2 linked regions of the Drosophila melanogaster genome follow. The protein of the gene in region 1 interacts with the protein of each later gene in a pairwise test. Each region holds a gene or a part of one and is shown in the gene's direction. Other genes may lie near its edges.

Region 1 (3,923 bases):
TGATGTTCTTCGAGCCCTGCCTGACGATACCCCTGCACAGAAGGCAGACCTTCTCCCTGCAGCAGCTCTCCCGGGCGACCATTGTGTCCAACACCAGCTACGACGGGATCAACCAGATGGAGCTGCCCGGTCGGCTGAAGAGCTACCTTAAGGAGTATCACTACAAGCAGAAGCTGCGCGTCAAGCCCATCGACCAGAACACCCCGATGCCGTACTACGGCAATGTATAGCGGGAGGAGCAGCAGGTGGGCTTCACCTACTACGAGGACGTGGAGAGCGGCAGCGAGGTGGACGAGGACGACGACGAGGGGGTCAACATACGGGTCTCCTACGTTCAGCACGCCGAGGTGGTGGCCCAGCTGCAGCAGGTCACCACGGCGTCGGGCCCATCGGCTCCGTCCTCATCCAGATCGTCCAATCTTCAGGAGCACCTCAGCAGGCTGCCCAACCGCATGGCAGCCGCCTTTGGTCGGATGTCGGCCAATCTGAATTGCTACCAGAAGACTGTCGCCACGCCGGAGCGTCACTCCAACTCCTCCTGAGGATCAGGACGTGGACGGAGGGGCAAACAGAACCCAGAAACCAAAACTCAAACTGAGACAATCCCAGTGCAGCGTGTGCCGCCACCATAAGTTAAAAGATCAAACGCGAAGCCACATAACAAAATCGCTAGCTCGCTACTACAAGACTGTCATGGATCAAAAACCAAATGTTCACCATATATATCTCACCTATTGGAATGCAGCTCGGACGGATTTTTGAGTTGTGGCACTCTTGAAAGCGAGCTGGTAGAATGTAGAATCGAAATCGCAGTTAGCTAATTGTACTATAAACTAAGTATTATTATCTAAAGCAACCCTCTCTCCTACACACATAAGTATTGCAAAAAGAAGGGCCAATCGAGCTTTTCGTAATCGCTGGTATTCTTGTAATATTTCATTGTATTTATTTGAAGTATGGAATCTAAATGATGTGTTACTGTTACGTGTAAATACGAGATACGAATGCAGCTTAGTTAGTGTAAAACTCTCTCATTAGCCAAATTTCCAAATGTAATTTTCGCCTATTTATGAATATACTTTATTTATTTATTCGAAGTGATTTCGTTCGCAAGCGAGTGCTTTGTTTAAAAAGAAAAAACCCGTCAGTTGTACACGTGTAGAGCATTTGTAAATACTACCGATTTTCGCATTAAGCTGTAGCTATATTAATATAATGAATTATAAATCATGTATTCCTACCTAGGTGGTTGCTGTTATTCGTAAACATTCAATAAGCAGTTGTTTCCAATACCTATTTAATGTATTTTACATATCTCACATGTTGATGAGCATGCGTATCAATATTCAAAAACAAAATCGAAAAAAGAGTCAAACAAATAAAGTTGATCAAGATATTAGAAAAAATCTCAAAGTGTGTTTTGAATCAGAAGTGTGGAATCATAATCAACCCAAATGATTGATGTATTTTAATATCTTTAACAAATGAATGTTTAACTCATTCGTTATTTTCATTATAAAGTCGTGAATTCTTTATAAAATGAGAGTAATCAACTAAAATCTATAGATTTCTATTTATTTTATTTTATATCTATAAAATATCTATAGATATTCTATCAAGATTATGCTGAACTAAACCTTTTTTACTTTCTTTTATGGAATTCGAATATGCAATCTTAATGAATTCTGTGTCGCATATTTGTAATCTTTTTGCAATTTTATTTATATATTTTTATAAGATGAATTAGGTATGCTTTTTTTAAGTTTAGGTAAATGTGGAATATTAGTTTGTATATCAATTTAAAAATCACACTTTTTGAAACGTACGTATAAATAAAAATTAAAGGGGAGAGGTCATATTTAAGATGTAATTCAAGTGAATTACAAAAATTCAAAAATTAAATGACTTTATCATTAATTTTATAGTTGGAAACAAAGCCAGCTCAGTGAGAACTGGTTGAAAATGCCTATCGGACTATCGATGAGTATTCATCGCTAGTGGTAACTTGCGACCAACCCGAGGCTGGTCACACTGCTCTGGTCGCGTCCAAAAAGTGTACAATTTTTCACCACCTCGGTTTGTTTTTTCGGACCAGGCGAGGCACCTTCGATTCGCTGCGACTTCCGTTTCCGATCCGTTTCGGATGATAGCTCTGAGTGCGCTGCTAACCAAATATACGATCGGTATTATGAGCAACCTAAGCAATGGCAACAGCAACAACAACAACCAGCAGCAGCAGCAACAACAACAGGGTCAGAACCCACAACAACCAGCACAGAATGAAGGCGGAGCGGGAGCGGAGTTCGTGGCGCCACCGCCCGGACTAGGTGCCGCAGTGGGCGTGGCAGCCATGCAGCAGCGCAACCGCCTGCTGCAGCAGCAACAGCAGCAGCACCACCACCATCAGAATCCCGCCGCCGAGGGAAGTGGCCTGGAGCGGGGCAGCTGCCTTCTGCGCTACGCCAGCCAGAACTCCCTGGACGAGAGCTCCCAGAAGCACGTCCAGCGGCCAAATGGCAAGGAGCGCGGCACTGTGGGGCAGTACAGCAATGAACAGCATACGGCGCGCTCCTTCGACGCCATGAACGAGATGAGAAAGTAAGGATGGCACGAGATCCTGTCGAAGGATCAGTTCGTACGACTATAAAATTTGGTTAAGTCCTTAAGCATCATAAAGAAGTAGCCAGGGTTTCTAAAGACCTTAAGGCAGTATATTTAGATCCACAAATAGTATTATATCCTAATTCCTACCTGTGAGAGGTTTTAAAAACCTTAGGTAGAACATTGGTTATTTTGTACCTGCCCTGGAGAATAGAACACACAGCACCCACATAGGACTTTTAATGATATGCAGAATTAGATCTATGTGATTTTATAGCCTGATTATGTAAATAAGCACACCTACAACGGTTCGAAAAATGTTTCAAATGTCATTTGTTTGCTCAACAGCAAACCAGCTGAACGTTCGTTCAGGTTCTAAAAAGGTGTCAGCTATTTCCCAGTTACTATTTCCTTGACAAAACAAGCTGATCTGAGTTTCTACCACTAAAACTTTCAGTTGTTAAATATGACGACCTACCTCAACTTAATATAAATAGAACTGTGCTAACTACACTCTATTATAAACTCATCTCCTCTGTTCCCGGACAAAGGCGCATGATTCAATCCCTGCGTGTTCGACGGGAACAGGTGGACCGACTGGCTCTCGAGCTTTGAGATTTGGGCCAAGATGCGAAAATAAAATCTCTGAAAATGTCAGATGATCGTCTCTCGCATATTTGCGCAGTTCGCTTTGTTTATCTGGCCGTTGCTAATATTTGTGTTTGCACACTACATATGTATAAACGAATATTTGCCGCCGCTTTTGTCGTGGGGCCATTCGCATTAATTATTGTCTAGTTTTTATTATGATGAGTTGCTTACGCCTTCGGGTTTCGCATTGGGCCACGACCTTGAACTTGGTTGCGGCCAAAAATGATATTCGTTTTCGAATCGCATTTCGATTCCGCTTCCGCGTCTCCGCCTTTGCTTACTTTTTGGAAAACTACTGGGCGTATGGAAAATTTATTGGTAGCTTACATAAAACGAGTTTTTTTTTTCGGACCAATCATATCGTATTCGGCGCGAAAGTGAATGTGGTATAACCCAAAAAGTAAGCCGAGCGTTGTAATGTGGATTGCTTTTTGATTGGGAATTGAATCACACAAATATTTCGTGAGGTGTATATTCTATGAGATTTTTTTTATTGGGTTATAATTATAACACCTTACGATTTTGAAGACAAAAGATCTTAGTCTTTTCGAGTAGTCATCATCATTTAATGGCGCCATAATTTGCACAGTTAATAGCATCCCCGTCTCTTTTTACAAAACAAAATATTTTCCTCTTGAAAAAATTCAAGCACTTTTGTTTACAAACATACA
Region 2 (3,923 bases), on another chromosome or scaffold:
GATGTTTCGTTTAATTAATAAGTTGTATTTTAGGAAGTCTTACAGTAATTAAAATTAGCTTCAGCATTTCTACTTATTACATTTATAACTAAGCTCCTTCAAATAAATGCATACTTAAACATATTGATATGCTTGGTAAGACTAAAGCAGGTAGTGGAAGTACTCGTCGCACATCTCGTGGACACTAGCGGTGTGCTCCTCGTCGCCGCTATCACTGCTTCGCAACGTGATTTTGTGTGCATTGGCGTACAAGTCGTCCTCATCAACAGCCGCATCGTCGGTTTCTATTAATTGAAATTGCAAAAGTGATGTGGCAGAAATGATAGTGGACGTAACTTCGTGACCTCACCTCGGTACTTTTGTTTGCGCCTCAACCGTTGCTTGGAGCTTGAGAGCACTGCTTCGTCGCCCAGATCCAATTCGTTTTCGCGGGAGTTCCGGGAGTAACGAATTGGCGGTGCCAGGAACCAGTAGGATTGCATGATGCCTTTGAGACCCGGCATTTGACGCAGTTCGGCCAATTTGAGCGGCTGCCTGGACAATGCTTGGAAAGATCGCAGCTGCAGTGTGACTGGTTGCGAAGTGCAGTTGATCAGCCTAATTACGGACTTCGCGGCTGTGGAGCAGACCATGGGATATATTTTGACATCCGGATCCGTCGGGACATTGGTGTAGGCCACTCCCAGCGATCTGCGGTTCAAATAGAACTCCAAGTGCCCACGCGTTCGATCCAAACAGACACCAATCAAGCAGCCCTGCGAGAACTTCTGGCCGTAGGGCAGTAACTCGCCACAGTGCTGAATCCTTCCGGAATACGAAAAGCCCCAGGACTGGGCATTGGTGCCCAGGGCCGAGACAAAGTGAAACTTGAACTGCCCTAGATTAACGCTTTCCGTGCCGATGCCGAACATCTAGGAAAAGTTATAAGAAAAGAAAGGCAATTATAAAGAGAACATTATTTACATTGAACTTTAGCTGGCTTATCATCTAGTTGGGGTGTCTGCTGAGATTTCCTCCTCCCGCTGCGTCTGTTATCTTATCGCCGCGTTGTAATCTGTAATCCATAATACAACGAAGCGAACAATCAAGTCGTCTCCAATGGAAACGAGCACACCAGATGCCTGGTTAGTTGTGTTCTATTTTAAGGCGGCGACTTTGAGTGACATTCATCATGCTGAGCATCCCAACTAGTTGCCAAGCCGGCCTGATAACTAACCACATCCGTGCCGGCCAGAGTCGTGATGACGCGCATCTCCCAAAAGTGCACCATGTTTGTTTTTAGGGCCTGTTCCCCTCTCACAATCGCCGTGCCCTGACTGTAGGTGGGATGGAAGATGATGTCCCGGTCGGTGACCACGGCATCCGATTCATCAGTGGCGTGCCACCGCCAGGCATTCACGTTTCCGGACTCATCCTCGCCGCATTGGCACCTGACCAGGTCGGGTATATGGCCCTTGTGGTTGGTAACCTCAATGGAGTTGGGAAACGGGCAATCACAGAAGCCGGGATTGCAGGCTTCTTGGTACGGGGGCAGCAGCATGCTGGCACTTGTTCCTCTTCACTGGTTTACCTTCGATTGCTTTGTAATGAATTGTGTCAGCCGTGTACAATGATCTCGAGCAGTCGACGGACCACAAATGTTTCCAGTTAAACCAGCTGCAGCCTCATATATAAGCACATTACTCTGATCTGACTGAACAATAAACAAAACGATGCGTTGTAAATAGACGTCGGCATCGCTGCCGACGTCGCCGCCAGTGTGACCGAAGCCGCAGTTCGGAACTTAAAATATACTAGATATATCTCAATTATGAGAATTATGGTCAAATTTATAGCAATTTCTTTTGTGGATTGCTAGTGCGTAGGAAATTTTGGTGTTTACAAAAGCTAAAAAACCAGTATTCAAATTTTAAATAGAATGTTGATGGGCTACATTTTTAAAAACTTAGATGCGCGCGCTAACGATAGGTTTCCTACAAATGGCAGCCCTGATATCGATTTTCAGTTGGCTTCGCACATATGGCATCTCTTTAGCCTTTTGACAATCTGGCAGCACGCGTAGCCACAAACAGCGGCTTTTCACTACGATATTTCCGCAAAAAGTTGTAAAATAGGTTAATAAAAGTGCTTAATACTTATAAAAACAACTAAACAGACATGGCGGATGCCGCAGCACGTCAGCTGCAATACGAGTACAAGGCGGTAAGTGTCAAATCCCGCCCGGGAAAACTTCTCCCACTCCATGCGGCGTCTCACCAGAATTTCACAAACACGTTAAATGTATTTTCCATTTTTCAGAACTCCAATCTTGTGCTGCAAGCCGATGTCCGACTCATCGAACGTCCGCGCCGCGATGAGGCCACTGGCGAGGTGTGTTCCCTGGTGGGAAAGCTGGACGGAACAAGGATGGGAGATCGGTACCAGCGAACGAAGCCGGAGAAAACGGAGGAGCGCAAGGTGAAACGTCAGAAGCGCGACGAGGCCCAGTACGATTTCGAGCGGATGAAGGGAGCCACTCTGCTCTCCGAGGGCATTGACGAGATGGTGGGCATTGTGTATCGACCCAAGACCCAGGAAACTCGTCAGACCTACGAGGTCCTGCTCAGTTTCATCCAGGAGGCTCTGGGGGATCAGCCCAGGGATATCCTGTGCGGTGCCGCTGATGAGATTCTGGCTGTCCTCAAGAACGATCGTTTAAAGGATCGGGAGCGAAAGAAGGATATAGACAGCTTGCTGGGCGCAGTTACAGATGAGCGATTCGCTCTGCTGGTTAACCTGGGCAAAAAAATCACAGACTTTGGCAGCGATGCCGTGAATGCTTTGACTGCTGCTCCCAACAACGAGGAGCAGATCGATGAAACCTACGGCATCAATGTTCAGTTTGAGGAATCCGAAGAGGAGAGCGACAACGACATGTATGGCGAGATTCGCGACGATGATGCCCAGGATGAAGGAGAGGAGGCCCGCATTGATCACACACTGCATGCAGAGAATGTGAGTAATGTAGTTAAAATTGCGAATCCCATTTCTTATTCGTGTATCCCTTCCCAGCTAGCCAACGAGGAAGCCGCAAATAATGTAAAGAAAGAGCGCTCCTTGCATCCTCTGGACATAGATGCGTATTGGTTGCAGCGTTGTCTGAGCAAGTTCTACAAGGACGCCATGGTGTCGCAAAGCAAAGCCGCCGATGTGTTGAAGATCCTCAAAGATGCCGCCGACGATCGCGATTGCGAAAATCAATTGGTGCTTCTGCTGGGCTACGATTGCTTTGACTTCATTAAGCAATTGAAGCTTAACCGGCAGATGGTCCTGTACTGCACCATGCTCGCCTCGGCCCAAACGGACAGCGAGCGGCAAAGGATTCGCGAGAAGATGCGCGGAAATTCTGCGTTGGCCAAAATCCTTCGGCAATTGGATACGGGAAAGTCAGAGGATCAGGAGGAGGGCGAAGCACGGGGAAGCAAGCGTGGCAAAGGCGATGCAGAGGATGGTGGAGCGGCGGCTGCCGGGCAGGTGGCCGGTGTGCGACAGCTACTCGAGTTGGAAGAGATGGCATTCACTCAAGGATCTCACTTTATGGCCAACAAGCGCTGTCAGCTTCCCGACGGCTCCTACAGGAAACAACGAAAGGGCTACGAGGAGGTGCACGTGCCTGCACTGAAACCCGTGCCATTTGATGCCAATGAGGAACTTCAGCCTGTGGACAAGCTTCCGAAATATGTGCAGCCTGTGTTCGAGGGTTTCAAGACCCTTAATCGTATCCAAAGTCGTTTGTACAAGGCCGCACTGGACAGTGATGAGAATATGCTGCTGTGCGCCCCTACTGGAGCTGGTAAAACTAATGTGGCACTGCTAACCATGATGCGGGAGATTGGAAAGCACATCAACGAGGATGGCACCATCAATGCGCAGGATTTCAAAAT

The links.
Region 2: the proteins of kel (region 1) and Brr2 interact in a two-hybrid assay, tested with the Drosophila melanogaster proteins (one study listed by BioGRID).

Annotation. Positions count from the first base shown.
Region 1 is NT_033779.5:18,136,152-18,140,074, reverse strand, and holds the start of kel (kelch), read left to right. Parts: upstream 1-1,991; 5' UTR 1,992-2,143; coding exon 2,144-2,598; intron 2,599-3,923. Other genes in the region: Socs36E (suppressor of cytokine signaling at 36E), read left to right, coding at 1-230. UniProt on the Drosophila melanogaster protein: Component of ring canals that regulates the flow of cytoplasm between cells. May be involved in the regulation of cytoplasm flow from nurse cells to the oocyte during oogenesis. Binds actin.
Region 2 is NT_037436.4:15,965,987-15,969,909, reverse strand, and holds the start of Brr2 (Brr2 U5 snRNP complex subunit), read left to right. Parts: upstream 1-2,037; 5' UTR 2,038-2,157; coding exon 2,158-2,202; intron 2,203-2,298; coding exon 2,299-2,994; intron 2,995-3,051; coding exon 3,052-3,923. Other genes in the region: CG10516 (uncharacterized protein), read right to left, coding at 142-284, 350-911, 1,217-1,540. UniProt on the Drosophila melanogaster protein: Catalyzes the ATP-dependent unwinding of U4/U6 RNA duplices, an essential step in the assembly of a catalytically active spliceosome. Plays a role in pre-mRNA splicing.